Lonchura striata: one gene and its partners. The protein of the gene in region 2 interacts with the protein of the main gene of each other region in a pairwise test. Links are inferred from orthologs where the notes say so. Each region holds a gene or a part of one and is shown on either strand. Other genes may lie near its edges.

The links. The genes of interacting proteins can lie anywhere in the genome.
Region 1: the proteins of DAZAP2 (region 2) and TAX1BP1 interact in binary tests that used the Homo sapiens proteins (3 or more experiments, as listed by UniProt). The two-hybrid records come from large-scale screens. The link is inferred for Lonchura striata from reciprocal best matches to the Homo sapiens genes DAZAP2 and TAX1BP1.
Region 3: the proteins of DAZAP2 (region 2) and MAPK1IP1L interact in binary tests that used the Homo sapiens proteins (3 or more experiments, as listed by UniProt). The link is inferred for Lonchura striata from reciprocal best matches to the Homo sapiens genes DAZAP2 and MAPK1IP1L.

The regions. Positions count from the first base shown.
Region 1 is NC_134603.1:123,123,140-123,130,282, forward strand, and holds the start of TAX1BP1 (tax1-binding protein 1), read right to left. Parts: upstream 3,006-7,143; 5' UTR 2,894-3,005; intron 121-2,893; 5' UTR 115-120; coding exon 1-114.
Region 2 is NC_134629.1:5,077,549-5,084,487, forward strand, and holds the start of DAZAP2 (DAZ-associated protein 2), read right to left. Parts: upstream 3,025-6,939; 5' UTR 2,968-3,024; coding exon 2,955-2,967; intron 1,730-2,954; coding exon 1,617-1,729; intron 1,389-1,616; coding exon 1,152-1,388; intron 1-1,151. UniProt on the Homo sapiens protein: In unstressed cells, promotes SIAH1-mediated polyubiquitination and degradation of the serine/threonine-protein kinase HIPK2, probably by acting as a loading factor that potentiates complex formation between HIPK2 and ubiquitin ligase SIAH1.
Region 3 is NC_134608.1:3,537,849-3,544,844, reverse strand, and holds the start of MAPK1IP1L (MAPK-interacting and spindle-stabilizing protein-like), read right to left. Parts: upstream 3,006-6,996; 5' UTR 2,891-3,005; intron 1-2,890.

The sequences.
Region 1 (7,143 bases), on a different chromosome or scaffold from region 2:
CTCAAGATGTGTGTTTGGAAGGTAACTTTTCGCGACATTTTGAAAAATCACGTGTGCAAAATTGGAGGTCTGCAAAGTGCTAGCTGAAGACGGAACTTCTTGAAAGGATGACATGGTTATCTGTAACAAAATTGTAGAAGTTGTTACCTGAACATAGTGGAAAAACAAGTGAAGTTACAAAAATTAATCTAGTAGAAATATGTACGACAGAAAAGCCTAATAATTAGTTGCCCTGCTCTGAAAACAGAGAGCCATAGACTAAATTCACTGCCTCAGCATCTCTCCAAAACAACCACCTCGCAGAATAAAAAGAGCAGTCATTTCAGCAGTGACATCAAGATGAAGAGAAAGCATTGCTTAGTTGAATGTCCCTAGTATATCTCAGTGTCAGAAAGGGGAAAATAAAAGCAGTGGTGTGAAAACAAAGCAGGGTTCTAATTTAATGAAAGATTCTTAATGGTCTAGACGTGCTATAGAAGGAGATTCTGTAGTTTCACCACTTCAAACTTTTCTCAAATCTGTACTGCTCAGTGCTTTTCACAGCATTTTTACACATTAAGTTTTTCCTCCCCTCTCAGTAAAAGCATCAGAGTTCCATTTCAAGACTTTTTTTTAAAAAATAAGAAAGTTTATGTAAATAGGAGGGTTTGTTTGGGCTGGCTTTTCTCTCGCCTGCCCCCGTTTAGCAGTCTATGGACATCTTTTACTATTCTCACTGTAACACATACTTCGTGTTTAGCTTCATTACCATAAACAATGGCCTGCATTGATAGCAGGAACATTGAGGTATGCGCGAAGTTGAAGGGAGTAACACTAATCAGTTGGACTGCAAAAGCTTTTGTTCTTTCCATTTACCACCTCATTCAGGATACATAGTGCTACAACTACAGTAACACAAGATGCTTCACAAGCAGAAGAAGAACATCCCTTCCTCAGATTCGGCAATATCTACCAAAAATAGAATAATATGCAACTGAAAAGTTTCAAATGTCTGACTCCATTATATAATCAACAGTTTGTCAAAACATTTGATATTAGGAGGATTAGGGCCTTATGTAGCTGACATTTCTGGAAAGATGAGCTACCCTGTTCTTGCAATTGCTGTTGAAAGTAATTTTATACCAACCAAGCACATTCACAGCTTGAAAGAGGTTACTGCCAAGCGTGTGACATAATATGCTACTTTCATTGAAGATACATATAGAAACCAAAACCAAAAGGAGACAGGCTACTGCAAGCCTCAAGTAGTTCAAATATGAAAAGGTGTTTGCATACCTCCTATAGCCTTTTAAAATTTCACCAGTTAAAAAATAAGTAGCAAAGACCTTGTGCTTTCTGAAACAAACTGCACTCTGAAGTAAACACGTATCCATCACCCAAAACAACGAAAAGGTAAATACAAAAGGTTTTTTTTAGTTTTAAGCCATCAAAATTTTAAGCTTATTATTGCACAATTTAGAGTAACACATGAGGTACATAGGGGCGGGCAGCCACATTATTTCAATGTATCAGATGTTAAATAAAAAAACAGTCTTGTATACTGACCAACACGGGGTACAAGATAAAACACAAAGCTTGTGAAGATGAATAGATGTAGAAGAAAAACAAGGAACTTCCACAAGCAGGAAACTGAGTAAAGATCAAAATACAGTTTTCTAGAGACAACAGGGTACACAATAAATCCTATCAGTTATGTAGCTTCATAGTCCAGAATAGGAAATATTACAGCACAGTAAAATCCTGAAAACTCCCACACATCTCAAAACAGAGAATAACATTTTCAATTTCAGTCTGAACTACAAATGGTATGCATCAGCACTATCTATGGCTCTAAAAGAAAAACCTTAGTTATTTTCAATTGCAACAAATTCATTCATTTTTAGTAATTCGGTAACTTACCAAAATAACACTGACATTTTCATTAGGTAGAATAAGTACAAAAAAGAGTAAACAGTATTAATAATAAAACCAATTGATTTTTCAGTAAATCTGTCTTTAAAATTGTATAGCTCAGCCTAAGCACATATTAAAAAAACTAAATTTAAAAAAAAAAAAAATTAAAAAAAAATAAAAACAAAAAACACCCAACCCCAACCAGAAGGAAAAAAAATTATCTGTTTCTGCACATTGTCAGCTGCTCAGCTGTGGCAGCTGAGCAGTAGCCCTAGAGGAACCAGTAAAGGCAAGACTGGTTTCCAACCCTAAAGCAGAACTGCTCACAAATCTAACTTGTGCAGACCAGCACAATCATCTGGGATTACTGTTGCCTAGCAGGAAAATCCCCGGGGCTTAGGTGATGGTCAGATCTACTTACAGTTCAAGGATAGTTATGGGGATGCTGGGTACTTGCTTGCTTAACTCACAGCTACCGGCTAGGCAACGGGAGAGGAGGAGGAAGAGCTACGCACAGGCTTCATTACCGACGTGACAAGCGCTTCCCACGGGAAGGCTAAACGACGCGTTTGGCTTTGCGCAGCGGAAAGGACGGTGAAAGGGAGGAAAAGCTCGTCGAGCAGGAAAAACAAAAGCAGGACGAGCCGCGCCAGCACAGACAGCTCCTCCCGGAGTCCTCCAGCTGCGGTCCCGGGCCCCCGACACCCCCGGTCCCCACCCGCCCCTTCCCCGCCGCTGCTCCGCCACCTGCCCGACGCGGTCACCTTGGCTCCGGGCCTCCTTCTTCCCCCGCGGGCCGGGGAGCCCCGCCGGCTCCCGCAGCCCGGCCCCGCCGCTCCCCTACCGACACGGCCGGCCCGAACAGCTAGCGGGGGCCGGTGGCGCAGAGCCGCGGCCGCACGGCCCGGCCGCACGGCCCGGCCCAGAAGCGGCCGGAGGCCGGCGGGAAAGAGCGTGTCAGCCCTGCCCGGACCCGCAGCCGGCCACGGACAGCTCTTACCTAGGCAGACGCGGAGGGCACCGGGGACATCAACATGGGGCCTCGGCCACCAGCGCCGCGCAGCTCCGCCCGTCCGCCCGCGTCACTTCCAGCCCGGCCCTGCCCGCACGGGGCGGGCCCGACACGGATCCGGTTGGGCACCGGGGAGCCGCCCGGTGGTCTCCGCTTCCCACGGGCCGGGGGCGCGGCTCGGGGCTGCGGGCACAGTGCTGTGCGCGGCGTGTGCCCGACCGGGCTGCCCTCACCTCCGTACAGCGCTCCCACGGTGCCCGCCCGCCTTGTCCGTGGTTACAACATCACCTCTGTCGCACCCACTTACCCGAATTAATCGTCTCCTCTTCCGTCCCACGTCAGGACACGGGCGTGCCGCCACCCTGTAGATCACCGTTAATCTGCCAGCCTTGCAGGTCTTCCCGGGGCAACGGAGGGGTGAGATAGGAGTGGCTGTAAAGGGTTCTGCCTGGGTACCTTGGCGGATCGCCATGGTAGGGCGTTACATCACACACAACGCTGACTCGGAGAACCAGGGAAGCACAGAATTCCAACCTAATTCGTTAAGGTTGGAAAGTACCTTTCAGCTCATTGCGTTCAACCTTTGACCAATTATCACTTTGTTAGCTAGACCGTGGCGCTAAATGGCGCGTTGTTTCTTGAACACCGCTAGGAGATTGTGACTCCACCACCATAACCACTAGTTGCCACAAGTTTATACAGGATTAATACCTTTTACCACATCTGATAGTTTTAAAACAATCTGGATTTAAACGGTTTGGGCATTAAGGCTTTTCTGACTATGCTCGCAACTATTTCACAGGGTCCTCTCCATTTTCATTAAAAAGCAGCTCGTAGAGCACTGACCAGAGTCACGGTGTTGACCAGTGCACCCAGTGTTCGTTGCCACTACAAACTGTCTTCAAGATCATCTTAAATTCTTTGCTGCTACCATTTCTTACGTGTTTTCATGTGTATTTAAAACAAACAGTTTATGTGGAGAGACATAGTGTTATTACAAATAATATGATTAATAATTTGAATTATTGAGTTAGGTTTCTGTTTCAAGTTCACCTGTTTTTTCATGTTCAATCCTAACAGAAATGAAACTAAGCTGGAGCATAGAAAGTGTATTTAAGTAATTATGGTAATTCATTGTACTTGCATTTTTGTTTCTGAAAACAGTCTTGTGTCTTAAGGTGTGTCACAGATTACTAGATTATCTTTTGATTTGTAGCCACAATGAATAATCTCTTATATCATCCATACATTCCATGTTTCCCTGGAAACCAATAAATTCCCTGCATAGTACTAACTGATCATTTTAGAAGACACGAGAAGTGTATGTAGAGCAATCTGTCATGTAAGACCAGATGAACTTTTATAGTGGAAAATGAGACCAGTATTTTGTTCAGCAATAAATATTTGTAAGGAGGTAGAAAGGGCTGTTCCTTCTTATCTCAGCCATCCATTTCTTCTCCTTGCTGCACTTTGCTCTGTATGATGTGATAAAGAGCTGTCTAATAGTCACAAGACACTCACTGTTCTCTGTTCTCGTGTGGGCTGGAACTTAGGAAGAACTCAGGGTTTACAGTCACCAGCTGGGGAATGTCAGCGTTGGTAAAGACAAAGTAGTTTTGCTTTCATTTAAAGCCATTGTAATGCAGGTTTGTGGGAATATGATGAGAAATTTGAAATAAATATTTTCTTTTGCAGCTAACAAAATCTTTATACATGAATGCCTGGAAAAACAAACAACCCACTTCTGTTTCCTAATTTTTTTAAAAAATACTTCTCAGTTCTGAGTTTTTTAAGAAACTTGAGATATTTCCATGTTCACTTAATAAATGTTCATTCAGTCAATAAAGGCAGTTATGGTTTACTCATAATTCGGTATTCAGTTATTATTTCTATTGCTTAATGCATATGGAAAAGGTAAAAAAACCTACTGAAATGCTGACATTAACATGAAAAGTGTATATATAACAATAGGACAAATAAATTGAGAATTATCTTGCCTTTTCTTGTACCTATATCCATAATTTTCAGGAAAATTTAAATTTCTAAACTTGCCATATTAACCTCATAATTCAGTATTTTTAAACTTCTAAACTTGTCTTCTTAACCACATAATGGTGGTTATATATAAAATATAAAACCATTTCTGACTAAAATAAATGTGTGGTTTAATGTGTTCTCATGTATGCTTTTACATGCTAGATTTAGATGCCAATCCTACCCCTCTAGAATTTATAGATATTTACAGAAAAATGCTGGAGAGCCTCTTCTAATTTTATTGCCATGTCAAGAAATTAAATACTTGACCAAAATGGACAAGTGGTGCACAGAGATCCCAGAATCAATAATAAATGTCCTTGTACATAGATCTGAATAAAGAAAAATGTGACTGGAACCAGTGATACTTGCACTTGGCTGAGAATTAATGATTGACCACCTTGATAAGTCTGATTTGCTAGACAGATACTATGTCCTGAAATTAATCCATGTGATATAAATCTTTCAGGAAACCTGCTCTTGAGCAGAAAGAAAACAAACAAAGAAAGAAACAAAACAAACAACCCAAACAAAACAAAAAACCCCTCCAATACTACTTTTCTATCCTTACTTACATTTCTGCAAAATATTTAAAACCAAAAAAAAGTTTGATATCAGCATTTCTAACAGAATCTTACTCTTTTGAGATTCTTTTAACACTAACACACTAATTAGAAAAGCTTATTACAGGGATGGTGACAATAATCTCATCTCCTTCTGGCTTGGTTTTCAGCTTTCCAATCCCTGATTTCAGTAACAGGAAACTGGTTTTGTTCAAGCCAGTACTTTACCACAAATGGTACAGTTTTTATGTGCAGTTTTCATGTGCAGGATGTACTTTAAACACATAATATCAATGTTTAGGCAGTATTTATGCATATTTAAAAGAAAAACAAACTGGGAATGTCAAGTATTTTTTAATTATACTATATATATATATTTTTATAATTAAAACCATGTTTGTTGGAAGGGATGTCCAGAGCAGCTTGAAGGAGCATGTTGATCAGGGCTGTACCTAGTCCCATTTCAAATGTCTCCACGGATGGAGACATTCCATGTCATCTAAAGAACCTCTTTCAGTGATTGAAAACACTAATTGTAAAAATGTTTCTTTGTATCAATTTCCCATGTTCCAGTTTTGTCTCTTGTCTTGTTTTTTCACTGTGGACCTCTGGAGAAAATTCTGTTCCATCTTTTCTACACCCTTTGCTTAGCTGGTTGTCGATAGCAATAGGCCCACCTCTTCTACAGGCTGAAAAAAATCCCTGCTCTCTCTCTTTTTGTGTTTATATGCACAATCTCCAAGCAATATATGTCAAATACATTTCACCAGGGTATTGACGTGGAAATAAAAAGCTGGCAAATAAAAATTGTGGTTGTGATAGAAATATTAAATAAAGTTAAAAGCGTGTGTGAATTCAGAATTCAGTAACTGGATTTGAACATCACTAGATTCCAAATAAGTTTGAAATTTGGTTTGGGATGCAAAAATTTCCCTGCTTTGTAATTATACTGAGACATTGCTAGGATGAGACTAGTCCCTCCTCAGGCATGAGATGAATGAGGAATAAAAACATGCAGTTAACCAGAATTGCCAAAGGAAACGGAGCAATTACAGACTCCTAGGGAACAGAGTTTGGGGTGCTTGCAAAACATTGTTTTTATAACTACACTATCTTCTTCAACCTCTGAGCCCCAGTAATTTAGAGCCTTGAAATTAAAAATGGATCCCTGTCACATCTGTTTAACCTTGGATAGATGTGAACTTTTATTCAATCCAGAGCCTAACATTTTTTTTCTTTCATTTGTTTACTTTATGTATTACTGTAGTCTGAACCAAACCCATGATGAGTTTTTGAACCATCCCTGAATTCCTCCCCTCTGAGGCCCATCTTTGTTTTGTGTGAGTGACAGAAAAATTATATATTTCTAGGTTTTATTACCAGGGAGAGGTACTTGATGTTGTGGATATTCAGTCTATTGGCATGACATGATGATATTGATGAAGTGTGGTAAGGAAATGCTTCAGTTCTGATGATTTGATTTCATTTTGGTTTGACTCCTATTTCAACACTTCCAAGTTTTAAAAGTGTGGGTCATGTGAGATGTAAAATATATATACTGATGTCACTAATCGGAAGCTCTTTCTGGTCATGCTGTAAAGCACACTTAATCAACTTCTTTAAGATCATGTTACAGAAAAC
Region 2 (6,939 bases):
CACCTGGGGGACACCTGTCCCTGTGCTGCCACCTGAGGGACACCTGTCACCTGTGCTGTCACCTGTGCTGTCACCTGGGGGACACCTGTCCCTGTGCTGCCACCTGAGGGACACCTGTCACCTGTGCTGTCACCTGGGGGACACCTGTCCCTGTGCTGTCACCTGAGGGACACCTGTCACCTGTGCTGTCACCTGTGCTGTCACCTGGGGGACACCTGTCCCTGTGCTGTCACCTGAGGGACACCTGTCACCTGTGCTGTCCCCTGTGCTGTCACCTGGGGCACACGCTGTCCCCAAGCTACCAAAGAGAATTCCAGGGCAGCAGGAACCTCTCAGGCTGCAGGGAAGGGCAGCCAAGGGGGGCTGGGGAAGCAGGGCCAGGTGAGGGGACAGGTGAGCAGGAGACAGGTGAGCAGGGCCAGGTGAGCAGGGCCAGGTGAGCAGGCACAGGTGAGCAGGCACAGGTGAGATGGGACAGGTGAGCAGGCACAGGTGAGAAGGGGACAGGTGAGCAGGCACAGGTGAGATGGGACAGGTGAGCAGGCACAGGTGAGCAGCCCCAGGTGAGCAGGAGCTCGCAGCAGTGCCAGGCCCAGGTGTGGGGACAGGTGAGGTCAGGTGGCCAAGGCCCCCCTTGTCCCGCTGCCCCCAGGCCAGGTTTGGGCAGCGGCAGCCACGCCCAGCCCGGCCGTGACCCTGAACCAGCGGTGACCCCAAAGCCCACCTGGCAGTGCCCTAGGCCAGGTGGGATGGGGCTGGGACTCACCTGGGCCAGGGCCAGGTGATCTCCTGGTCCCCCCACCCAAATCCCCCCGTTCTGTGGCTCCACCTGTGCTGGATGCTGGCAGTGCCACCCGTCCCAAACCTCACCCATCCCAAATCTGCAGTGCCACCCTTCCCAAACCTCCCCACCCATCCCAAATCCGCAGTGCCACCCATCCCAAACCTCCCCACCCATCCCAAATCCACAGTGCCACCCGTCCCAAACCTCCCCACCCATCCCAAATCCACAGTGCCACCCGTCCCAAACCTCACCCATCCCAAATCCGCAGTGCCACCCATCCCAGACCTCCTCCCCCATCCCAAATCCGCAGTGCCACCCGTCCCAAACCTCCCCACCCATCCCGCACACACAGATCCCCGGCACTCACCGGGATGCTGGCAGTGCCGCCCGTGCCCAGCCTGGCGGCGGTGTCGAAGCCGCCGTCCAGCAGCAGGGTGGAGCCCGGTGGGTACAGCTGTCCCAGGGGGAAATAGGCCACGGGGGAGCCCAGAGCCCCCACGGGCGGCGGCGGCGCCAGGGGCAGGTACAGGGACACCCCTGGGTACGCTGGGGACACGGGGGGGACGCCAGCGGCGCCCAGGGGCACGAAGCTGAGGCGGTAGAGCTGGAAGAGCACCGGGTCGGCCGGGTCAGGCAGGTGCCATCCCCCAGCCAGGTGCGCATCCAGCACCCGCGGGGACCTCACCTGCCTGCGGGAGCGGGAGGCACCCGGAATTCACCCCGGCCTTTAAAGGGGCGCTTTGGGTCACTGGGTCCCTGTCCAAGGGGAGCTCCGGGCTCCCCTGGGCCACGGACGGCTCCCAGGTAAATGCCCCAGGTGTGCCCCACCTACCTCGGGGTACGCAGGAGCGGGGTCCAGGTAGGGGGGCGGCTGCGGCAGGGGCAGGGCCTGGGGGTACCCGGGGGGGGCCGGCCCGGGGAACAAGGGCTGGCCTGGGAAGGGCCCTGGGGAGAGAACCGGGTCAGGAGAGCCGGGAGCCAGGGCGGGGGCTCGGGCATCGCCCCGCGCCCCCCGGCAGATCAGCCCGGCCTCAGTGTCCCCCAGCGATGGCAGCCCCTCCTCCCGTCACGGCATGGCCTCGCTCCCCCCAGGGCTCCAGACCCCCCTCCCAAATATCCCCAAATCCTCAACTCCCCCGTGCCCCCTCCCACGATAGCCCCCCAAAACCTCACACCCCCCCCCGTGCCCCTCCCATGGTATCCCCCCAAAGTCACACCCCCCCGTGCCCCCCCATGGTATCTCCCCAAACCCCCCCGTGCCCCCCCATGGTATCCTCCCCAACACCCCCGTGCCCCCCCATGGTATCACCCCCCCAACCCCCCCGTGCCCCCCCCATGGTATCCTCCCCAACCCCCCCGTGCCCCCCCCATGGTATCACCCCCCCCAACCCCCCCGTGCCCCCCCATGGTATCACCCCTCCCACACTCCCCCGTGCCCTCCCATGGTATCTCCCCCAACCCCCCCGTGCCCCCCCATGGTATCACCCCCCCCAACCCCCCCGTGCCCCTCCCATGGTATCTCCCCCAACCCCCCCGTGCCCCCCCATGGTATCCTCCCCAACCCCCCCGTGCCCCTCCCATGGTATCTCCCCCAACCCCCCCGTGCCCCCCCATGGTATCCTCCCCAACTCCCCCGTGCCCCCCCCATGGTATCACCCCCCCCAACCCCCCCGTGCCCCCCCATGGTATCTCCCCCAACCCCCCCGTGCCCCCCCATGGTATCACCCCCCCAACCCCCCCGTGCCCCCCCATGGTATCCTCCCCAACCCCCCCGTGCCCCTCCCATGGTATCTCCCCCAACCCCCCCGTGCCCCCCCTTGGTATCACCCCCAACCCCCCCGTGCCCCCCCATGGTATCACCCCCCCAACCCCCCCGTGCCCCCCCATGGTATCACCCCCCCAACCCCCCCGTGCCCCCCCATGGTATCTCCCCCCCCAACCCCCCCGTGCCCCCCCATCCCCCCCGTGCCCCCCCTTGGTATCTCCCCCAGCCCCAGCCCCGCCTCCCGGGTGAAAGCGAGGCTCAGCACGCGTCTCCATGGCAACCCCGGGCCCGCCCCGCCCCGCCCGGGCCCCGCCCCCCGCGCCCTTAAAGGCGCCGCGCGGGCGGGGCGGCGCTGCCGGCGGGGCGGGGCTCCGGTCCCGGCCCGCGGCCCCGCCCCGGCCTTGCCTTTGCCGTTCATGGCGGCGGCGGCGCCCGCGGTCACGGCGGGGGCGGCAGCGGGAGCGGCAGGAGGCGGGGGCGGCCCGTGGGGGAGGGTGAGGGACGGGGCAGGAAGCGGGACGGGAAGCGAGCGTCGTGACGTCATCGCGCCGGGGGCGGGGCCACGCGCTCTTAAAGGGGCCGCGGGAAAATGGGGGGGAGGGAGGGGCGGGATGGGGGCGGGGGTCCTAAAGAGGCTCTGGGGTCACTAAACAGGGTCTGGGGGCCCTAAATATATATAAAAATAAATATATTTTATATATACTAAATAAACATATACATAAATATATATATAAATATGTTTATACAGTATACATTTAATATATATTATATTGATATATTGATATAATATACATTGTATATATTATATTAATCTAAAATATATAATATATAATATATCATATATCATATATCATATATCATATATCATATATCATATATCATATATCATATATCATATATCAAAATCATAATCATATATTATATATTATATACATATTACATATATTATGTATATTATATATATTATATTTATTATTTATATTATATATATTATATAATTTGAATTACATATTTAATCTAAACAACATAACATTACAGTTTAATATATAGTGCAGTAAAAATTGATATTTATTACATCTTTATAAAATACCAATAAAACCTTTAGAGATACATCATACATACTAGAATAATATATAAATATAGTCAATAATATTAAAAATACTGATACAATAGTGTAGTGTATAATACGTAGGAATAAGTATTAATAAGGATTAGTAAATAAAACATTCTATTAATTAATATACTGTATTAGTACAAAAACAATATAATTATGCATTCATATATAAATATACAGTATAATATGACTATATGGCCATACATTTTTGTATAAATTCACAATATAGAGCGCAGTGGTACATTAAAAAATCAACAAATACAGATAAAATAAGAGGACATCAAACACGTACCATGTGTATCACGTACGTAGCGCTGCGTGTAAATCATCCAGAAGTCTCGGCGCGGTTCCGGAGCCGCCGGCGCCGGGAAATCGCCCTGCGACGGAGAATTCCCGTCCGGATTGTCCCGCTCCCGCCCGAGCCGGCGCTCATGAATAATGCAGCACTGCTCATACATATGCAAATGAGCCTCCCGGCTGCGCGGGGGTGCGCTCATGAATAATTCATGAGGGGGAACGTTCCTCGCTTTCAGAACGCGCAGAAATGGGAAAAAAAAAAAAAAAAAATCTGATTTTCCTTCAAGGGGACCCGGCCTGGGGAGCCCCGAGCGGCCCCGGGGGCTGCGGCCACGGCCCCGGGACCCCCGGGACCCCCCAAGGACCCCCGAGACCCCCGGGAACCCCCCCAGGACCCCCGGGACCCCCCGGGACCCCCCAAGGACCCCCGAGACCCCCGGGAACCCCCGGGATCCGCCCTGGGACCCCCTCGGAACCCCAGGGAACCCCCGGGACCCCCCCCCGGGATCCGCCCTGGAACCCCCGAGACCCCCGGGACCCCCCCGGGACCCCCCCGGCTCTGCTCGGCTCTGCTCTGCAGACCCCCGGGACCCTCGGACCCTCTTTGGGAACCCCGCTCAGGGACCCCCAAACCCAGTTAGGGACCCCCAAACCCAATTAGAAACACCTAGACCCCGCTTAGGGACCCCCAGACCCCACTTAGGGACCCACAGACACAGTTAGGGACCCCCAGACCCAGTTAGGGACCCCAGACCCATTTAGGGACCCCCAGACCCAGTTAGGGACCCCAGACCCATTTAGGGACCCACAGACCCATTTAAGGACCCCCCCAGACCCGTTTAGGGACCCCGGACACGTTTAAGAACCCCCGGACCCATTTAGGGACCCCCAGACCCGTTTAGGGACCCCCAAACCCATTTAAGAACCCCTAGACCCATTTAGGGACCCCTAAACCCGTTTAAGAACCCCCGGACCCGTTTAGGGGCGCCCCTCCCTCCACCCCCCCCGCCCCCAAGCTCCCCCCCCTCAGCTGAGTCTTTGTTAATTAAAATCCGCCCCCCCACCCGAGCTGTTTTCCTTCCCCGCATGCAAACTATTAGCTATATGCAAATGTATGCAAATGACCGGGGATTTAACTAGCTGTAGGTATTTAACGATTCGTATTAAATATTCATAATCACGGCAGCGCGTATGCAAATGAAGCCGGCAGAACTGGGCCGCGGCCGCCAATAACAGGTGCACCTGGGGTAATTAGAATATTAATGAATATTAATGATTATTAATGAGGAGGGCTCGCTCTGGCTGTGGGGTCATTAATATTCCCCCCAGCCTTGTCCCGTTTGTCCCGCTCCTCGGGGGGGGGCCCGGCACTCCGGGGGTTGGGGGGTTCGGGGGTTGGGGGTCCTGGATTTGGGGGGTCCTGGGTTTGGGATCCGGGGTTTTGGGGTCCTGGGTTGGGGATCCGGGGTTTTGGGGGGTCCTGGATTTGGGATCCGGGGTTTTGGGGTCCTGGATTGGGGATCCGGGGTTTGGGGGGTCCTGGATTGGGGATCCGGGGTTTTGGGGGGTTCCGGCACTTCAGGTCTGGGGTTTGGGGGTTTCTGGGCTGGGAACCTCTGGTGGGGGATCTTGGGGCTGGAGCTGGTTCTGGTGCCGGGGAGGGTCTCTGGTTTTGGGGTTCCAGGGCTAAGGAGGCCTCTGCAGCTCGGGGCTCTCTGGTTTCGGGGGGTTTCTGGTTCTGGGGGTGTCCCTTAGACTCCGGGGGTGTCCCGGGGTGTCCCGGGGTGTCCCGGGGTGTCCCGGGGGTCTCAGGGGTCTCTGTCCAAGGGGTCCCGGCACCTCTATCCCGGGACTCTGTCCCGGGGTTCCTCTCCGGGGTTCCTCTCACGGGGGTGACCGGCTCTCTGTCCCGGGGGTCTCAGGGGTCCCGGTGTCTCTCTCCCGGGGTCCCGGTGTCTCTCTCCCGGGGTCCCGGTGTCTCTCTCCCGGGTCCCGGTGCCTCCCCCGAGGTCCCGGGTCCCGGGTCCCGGTCTCTGTCTCCCAGGGATCCCGGTCTCTCTCTCCCGGGTCCCGGTCTCTCTCCCGGGTCCCGGGTCCCGGTCTCTGTCTCCCGGGGATCCTGGTCTCGGTCCCGGGTCCCGGGTCCCGGTCTCTCTCCCGGGTCCCGGTGCCTCTCCCGGGGTCCCGGGTCCCGGTCTCTCTCTCCCGGGTCCCGGTCTCGGTCCCGGGTCCCGGTCTCGGTCCCGGGTCCCGGGTCCCGGTGCCTCCCCCGGGTCCCGGGTCCCGGTCTCTCTCCCGGGTCCCGGGTCCCGGTCTCTCTCCCGGGGATCCCGGTCTCTCTCCCGGGTCCCGGGTCCCGGTCTCTCTCCCGGGTCCCGGTCTCTCTCCCGGGTCCCGGTCTCGGTCCCGGGGTCCTGGGTCCCGGTCTCTCTCCCGGGTCCCGGTCTCTCTCCCGGGTCCCGGTCTCGGTCCCGGGGTCCCGGGTCCCGGGTCCCGGTCTCTCTCCCGGGTCCCGGTCTCGGTCCCGGTCCCGGGTCCCGGTCTCTCTCTCCCGGGTCCCGGTCTCTCTCCCGTGTCCCGGTCTCTCTCCCGGGTCCCGGTCCCTCTCCCGGGTCCCGGTCCCGGGTCCCGGTCTCTCTCTCCCGGGTCCCGGTCTCTCTCCCGGGTCCCGGTCCCGGGTCCCGGTCCCGGCGCGGCGCCCGCAGCGCCCCCAGCGGCGGCGGGCGGCCCGGGCCCTGCGGCGCGGCCTGCGCATAAATTATGTTCATGACGCAGCAGCCCCGCCGGCCCGGCCGGAGCCCCGAGCCCCCGCCCGGGACCCCCGCGGCACCGAGCCCCCCGTAGCCGCCCCCCGTGGCCGCCCCCGCCGCCGCCCGGGCCGGGCCGCCGGGGCCGCTCCGCCGCCGCCGCCCCCCGCCCCTTTGTGCCGCCGCCGCCGCCGCGTCCGCGGCGATCGCGGGAGCGGCGAGAGCGGCGGGG
Region 3 (6,996 bases), on a different chromosome or scaffold from region 2:
GTTCCTGTCTCCAAGATCATCTTTCAAACACAGAAAAAGGTTTTTCTGGATATGCAACAGGCTGTGCTGCATTTCCACTGGGTGGCACGGCTGCCTCGGCAGAGAGGTTCCTTTGTCACTCTGACATGACTAATTCCTACCAGCATCACCTCATCCACAACAGGATTTCTGCCCACATAAGTGTAACTACCCAACATAGCACCCGGAGAAAATGGAAGAGACACCAAGTCTTTGACGGCTTCTAAATGTTTTCTAAAATATGCAAATTCCTGCAGCTTCAGGCGTTAAATATCAACACTTCAGAGTCGGCCTTTAGAGAATCCCAGAAGCGTTTGGGTTGGAAGGGACATTAAAACTCCCCTTGTTCCACCCCCTGCCATGGCAGGGACACCTTCCTCCACAAGACCAGGTTGGTCCAAGGCCAATCCACTTCCAGGGATGCAGGGACAGCCACAGGTGCTCTGGGCACCCTGTGCCAGGTCCTCACCACCCTCACAGGAGAGAATTCCCAATTCCCAATCTCCCACCCATCCCTGCCCTCTGGCAGTGGGAGCCATTCCCTGTGTCCTGTCCCTCCATCCCTTGTCCCCAGTCCCTCTCCAGCTCTCCTGGAGCCCCTTCAGGCCCTGCAAGGAGCTCTGAGCTCTCCCTGGAGCTTCTCCTCTCCAGGTGAGCACTCCCAGCTCTCCCAGCCTGCCTCCAGCCATTGGAGCATCTCCATGATTTCCTCTGGATTTGCTCCAGCAGCTCCACCTCCTCCTGATTTTGGGGGCCCCAGAGCTGGACACAACACTCCAGTGGGGTCTGAGGAAACTGGAGCAGAGGTGCAGATTTCTCCCATCTCCTGGGATCCAGGGGCCTCCCCACCCCCACAGAGCAGAATTCCTTCCTAATATCCCATCCATCCCTGCCCTCTGGCAGTGGGAAGCCATTCCCCCCTGCCCTGTCACTCCATGCTCTTAAACAGCCCCTCTCCATCTTTCTTGCAGACTTTATTCAGGTCCTGGAAGGCCACAATTAGATCACCCCAAAGCCTTCTCTTCTCCAGGATGAACCATCCCAGCTCTCCCAGCCTTTCCTCAATTATCTTGGTGGCCTCCTCTGGCCCTTTCCCCATCCTTAAAGCCTCCCCAGTGCTCACATACCATAAAATAATTTGGTGTGCCCTGGGTGTTAATCCATGGGGAAAATAAAGTTAATTGACAAACTAAACCAACAGCTAATCATCAGTGGCTAGGAGAAGTTTGGATATTTCTGCCCCTTTCCCTGTTTGTTAAAAATGAAAAAATGACAAAAGTCAGTTTCCAGATTTTCAGGACAGATGCCTTCAAGACTGACAACCAAATGGTGGCATTTGCTATAAACTGTCAACTACCAAAAAGAAAATAATTCTTCAAAATAGAGGACCTGGCAGTTTCCAGGACCTGTAAAACACAAAGCCATAAGGATCTGTGATCTGTGCCAGCTCTTCACCCTCACCAGGCCGTTCAGTTCCACAGCTGGTCCCCAAACCCAGCAGATGCCCAGCTGGGCAGACAGGGAGCACAGGGAGGTGCCCAGTTTGTGTGCCAGCTGTGACACCAAGTCAGGGCACAGCAAAGAGAATCCCCGGCCACTGATCCCTCCTGTCCACAGCACCCAGCCCTGGGAATCCTGGAAAAGATCTGTTGGTCCAGCAGCCTGCAATGATTAAAACTGATCTTTCAGAGTTGCCTCTAAATTATATTGAGAGCTACAGAGCCTCACATCACAGAATCCTAGGGGGGTTTGGGGTGGAAGGGACTGAAAGCTCATCCCATCCCACCTGTGCCATGGCAGGGAGACCTTCCACCATCCCAGGCTGCTCCAGGCCCTGTCCAACCTGGCCTGGAACACTTCCAGGGATTCAGGGGCAGCCTCTGTTCTCGTCTCAAGCATTATCAGCTCAATTATTGTAATTGTTTTGGGTGAAATGAAAACCCTGACTCTTGAGGAGTGACTGTCAAACAGCTTCACTGCAGGTTTGTGGTGTCACCCCCTAAAAAAACACCAAACCCACGAGTCCCACTCCATCCTGACACACAAACCCAGACACCTTCCTGCTCCTCGGCAGAGGCTCTTTCCCAGAAAAAAAAAAAAAAAAACCCACTTTTCAGGCTTTACACCTGGCACCTTTCTTCAACTGGCACTGTTCAAACGCACTTGGATGAACTTAAGCTTCGAGAATATCCCAAATGCTTCCCAGGGCTGGCCTGGGATATTCACCACGAATTTTTCTTTCAGCCCCTGATCCCCACAGCTCCCGGGAAGGGCAGTTTCAGGGTGTGTCATTTTGGTTTCAAAAACACAAAGCAGCCACTTTTGTTCTGACACCACTGGCAATAAGGCTGAGTACCAGATCGCCACCGTTCTCCACGGAAATTCACCTGGAAACAAGTTTTCCATCAGGAACAGAACCTGTCAGGTGCTGGCCCTCCCCTGTGCATCAGCTGCCTTAAAAACACGTTAAAATGTGATAAACCAACTTCTCACCAACTCCGAAAAAGCGCCTTTCCCCAACCCTTCTTTAGGGAGGCTTTAAGTCGAAGTCACTTATATGCAATCCACGCTCATTGATGCGCTCATTAATAAATTACGGCCGCACAGCGCAAAAAGAATAATAAAAAAAAAAATTAAAGAAAAAAACAACAAATATTTAACCCAGCCAAGACAGCGCCGCCACGGAGCCGCCAGGCCCCGCCACCAGCGACCCCCGGTGCTCGGCAGGAGGAACCAGCACCGCCCGCCCCCCCGCAGGCGGGGCGGCACCTCCGGGATGTCTGAGGCCCCGCGGCCGCGGCCCCCCTCCTTCCTCCCGCGCTCCCCGCGGCGGAGCGGGGCCCGTGCCGGCGGCGGGGCCGGGTGCCGGTACCTGTGCGGGGAGAGCCGGAGCAGGCCCGGAGCGACGCGGCGGCCGCAGCTGCACCGCCACAGCGACGGCGCACCGGAAGCGGAACTGCGTCACGGCGGCCGCGCCCCACGCCGCCCCCACCCCCTCGCGCCGCCGCCGCCGCCGCCGCACCGGAGGGGCGCGCGCTCGGCCACGCCCCCTCCGCGGCCGCCGCGTCACCGGCACCGCCCACCGGCGGCGCGGCCACGCCCACCCACCCGTGGCCACGCCCCCACAGGGTCACCGCCCACAAAATCTGCATAATAGGCCACGCCCATCAATGGTGAGGCCACGCCCCTCGCTGATTTAATAACCGCGCGGGCTGAGCGGGGTCACGTGACAGCGAGCGCGGCCCGCCCTTGCCCCCCCGCGGTCACGTGACGCCTCCGCTGAGGGGCGGGCGCGGCTTCTGAGGGGACCTGGTTTGGAGGACGGGAGCTGCTCTAAAACAGCATTTCACCACCGTTTTCACCACTTTAATTTAAAAAATATGTAAACTTGTATCTTAATTTGTCGCCCCCCCCTTCGCTGGTGAATCAAAATCTGCGCCGTGCAGTTCAAGACCTGCAGGATAAACCTGCAGAGCAAAGTACGCCCTTTCTGTCCCTTCAACGAGGGACACAACCATTTTCACCACTTTAATAAAAAAAAATATAAACTTGTGCCTTGATTTGTCGCCCCCCCTCGTCCGTCAATCAAAATCTGCGCCGTGCAGTTCAAGACCTGTAGCAGAGACAAAGCAAAGTTCTTACTATCTGTCCCTTCAACGGGGAAAAAAATAAAAATATTTTCAGTGTAAAAAAAATTATCACTTTAACTAGACAGAAATTAAAATGTTATTTCTATGTGCAAGGTAAATCGCCATTGGTGGTCCCAGAAAAAGCTCCAAAAGCATTGATTTGTTTACATCTACAGCTGCCAGGACAAACACTTCAGCAGAAGCTGCGCAACTCTTAACAGTGTAATTAACAATCATATAAACAGTGTCATTAATAATCATACAAACAGCAGTTTCTGATGGATCTATATGATTGCTGAAAATCCAATTCTGATTTTCTTCTCGCCCAACAGGAACGACTGAAGGCGATCCCGACAGCTCCAAAATTTCCACCACGCTCCCGAGACATCTGTCAGCGTTGTGGCCATGACCACTGGCTGGGATTTCACCTCATCTTACGCAAAATATCACGGAATTTTCACTTTTAAGGTATCCCAAATCATCCAATTTTCACCTTTCAACCCTAAAGCTGCGCCTGAAATCTGCCTTTTCCCTTTGCCCTCTCCCTGTGTGCCCCCGTGTCCGCAGCCCCTGTGGCGGGGCGCAAGCACACGGTGTGGTTCCCTGCCCTGCCCTTCCCAGCTATGGCACTAATCCCGAGCCTTTCCAAGCCCGGAGAATTCCGTTAAACTCAGCAGAAACGCGGGCACGGGCGATGCCCAGCACATGCCGACCCGGCCGCTGGCACCCTTCCCTTGGGAGTGAGCATCTGTTTGTGCTTTTCAAGGTCATTATTCGACCCTTTCTGAAGTAACAGGGAAAATTCAGCGGCAGGAGCAGGAGCGGGGCGCTGGCAGCCCAGAAATCTTCCCAGGATAGTGAGCAGCAGGGAGAGGGGGGGAATTTGCCCCTCTGCTCCAGTTTCCTCAGACCCCACTGGAGTTTTGTGTCCAGCTCTGGGGCCCCCAAAATCAGGAGGAGGTGGAGCTGCTGGAGCAAATCCAGAGGAAATCATGGAGATGCTCCAATGGCTGGAGGCAGGCTGGGAGAGCTGGGAGTGCTCACCTGGAGAGGAGAAGCTCCAGGGAGAGCTCAGAGCTCCTTGCAGGGCCTGAAGGGGCTCCAGGAGAGCTGGAGATTGACTGGGGACAAGGGATGGAGGGACAGGACACAGGGAATGGCTCCCACTGCCAGAGGGCAGGGATGGGTGGGAGATTGGGAAGGAATTCTTGTCTGTGAGGGTGGTGAGGACCTGGCACAGGGTGCCCAGAGAAGCTGTGGCTGCCCCTGGATCCCTGGAAGTGTCCAAGGCCAGGCTGGACAGGGCTTGGAGCAACCTGGGATGGTGGCAGGTGTCCCTGTTCATGTCAGGGGTTGGAACAAGATGGTCTTTAAGGTCCCTTCCAACCCAAACCATTCTGAAATTCTGTGGTAGCTGTAAAAGGCATGAAACTGCAACGTTTTTACTGACTAATTTTCATAAATAATTACCACCAAAACTAAGTGGGCATTTGCTATAGACCCCATTCCATAAGGATGTGACAGCGTGTCCTCTGAATTGAAACAAAAGCCAGGGGAATTTTGGGCTGACTTCACAGCTCTTTCACAATTGCCTTTCCTAGTCCAGCGATCTCTGGGAGTTCCCGTAGGAGCAGCCCTTTCGGTGTGGCCTCCTTGGAAGAAATGAGCAAATAGGAATGAAAGCAATCCTCCTCCCAGCTGTGTTCAGGGCACCTTTGCTTTTCCACGCTTGAAAGGGCAGCGCTGTGGGCAGCTGCTGCCGTGTCCTGGGCTGCCAGTGGTGACAGCAGGAGTCCCCAGAGCTTGACGTTTTTTCCTGAGCAATCTGGTAGTTAGAAACCCTAATTAATGAGCAAACATGCAGCTGACAACAGTGGTGATGTCTCACTTTAAATATCAGTCTGGGACTGCAAAAGCACTTTTAATCAATAATCTCACCAACCTCACCGAGCTGCACAATAGGATCACACAATGTGTAGAAGTAGAAAAGGATGATGAATTTTTGAACTTTTTCTCCCCCACCTTGGGCAAATGCAGCTTTTCAGCTGCATGTGTGTATCTGCTGAAGACTGTAAAATGAATCCCAAAATGGTTTGGGTTGGGAGGGACCTTAAAACTCATCTTGTTCCAAGCCCATGCCATGGGAAGGGACTCCTTCCACTAGACCAGGTTGCTCCAAGCCCTGTTCAGCCTGGCCTGGAACACTGCCAGGAATGAGACAACCACAGCTTCTATGGGCAGCCTGTGCCAGTGTGGAATTTACATTCAATTGATTCATCTTAGTGCCAGGAATAGGTCTTGGGAAAGGCTAACACCGAGCCCTGCCTACATCCTATTGGAAGATGTTTGCACTTTGCACACTAAAATATGTAATGAAAGAAAAGCTGGGGTGAAATGGTGAATTTAAATTATTCAGAAAGGCTGTTTGGTGTAATGATGTGAGGGCAGTTCCTCAGTACAAGCCTGCATTGCAGGGCCTGCACCCTGCCTGTGTGCTACAAGTGTTGGCCTCTCTGTTTTTAGCTCAGCTTCATGTAAATATTTGGGTTGGAAGGAAGCTCTGGTCTAACCTCTGTCTCAAAACAGGAATAGCTGTGAACCTTGTCTGCCTGAGTCCTGAGTGTCTCCAAAGTCGGAGATTGCTCAACCTCTCTGGATGTTGCATCCCTAAAAACAGCCCCTGTGAGTGTTGCCATTATTCCCTGCATCCCTCAGACTTTCCCTTGCTGGAATTGTGGCTTGTCCTCCTGCCATGTACCTCTGCCCACTCAGTACCACCCGCCTGGATGGCTGGAGGCTGCCGTGAGCTCCTTCCTACCCTCAAAAATACAATTTCCACAGCCTTTCTTCATGCTCTGGCCCCCAGCTGTGCCAGTGGCCCCTGCTGAACTCCCTCCGGTTTCAGCATCTCTCTTGTCTTTCAGTGACAAAATTGGGCATAATTGCCTGCCTCAGCCTTTGTTTTGGGGTAAAAGACCAACAGACAATACTTAAATTGTCCGATTCAGTACTTTTCAGGGACAATAGCACAGATCTTGAGTTGTGACAGGCATCGGAGCCAAGGGAACTTTATCACACCCGGAGGGCTGTTCATGCCATGAACAGTAAATTCAAAGGAACAATAACAATATCTTTGTTGTACCTCCCTTTTACATCAGCCAGTCAGGAGGAACAGCACACAGTGGAGGCATCATTTTGCTATCCAACTCAGAAAAAAAAAGGTGTTTTTTTTTAAATCAAGTTTAAAATTCTGGAATGTAATGGCAGCTTTCATTAAGAAAATGCCAGTTTCTTGTTGATGGGCTGGAACAGTGAGATATAAGATATTAATCTTTAGTTCCAGTTTTGA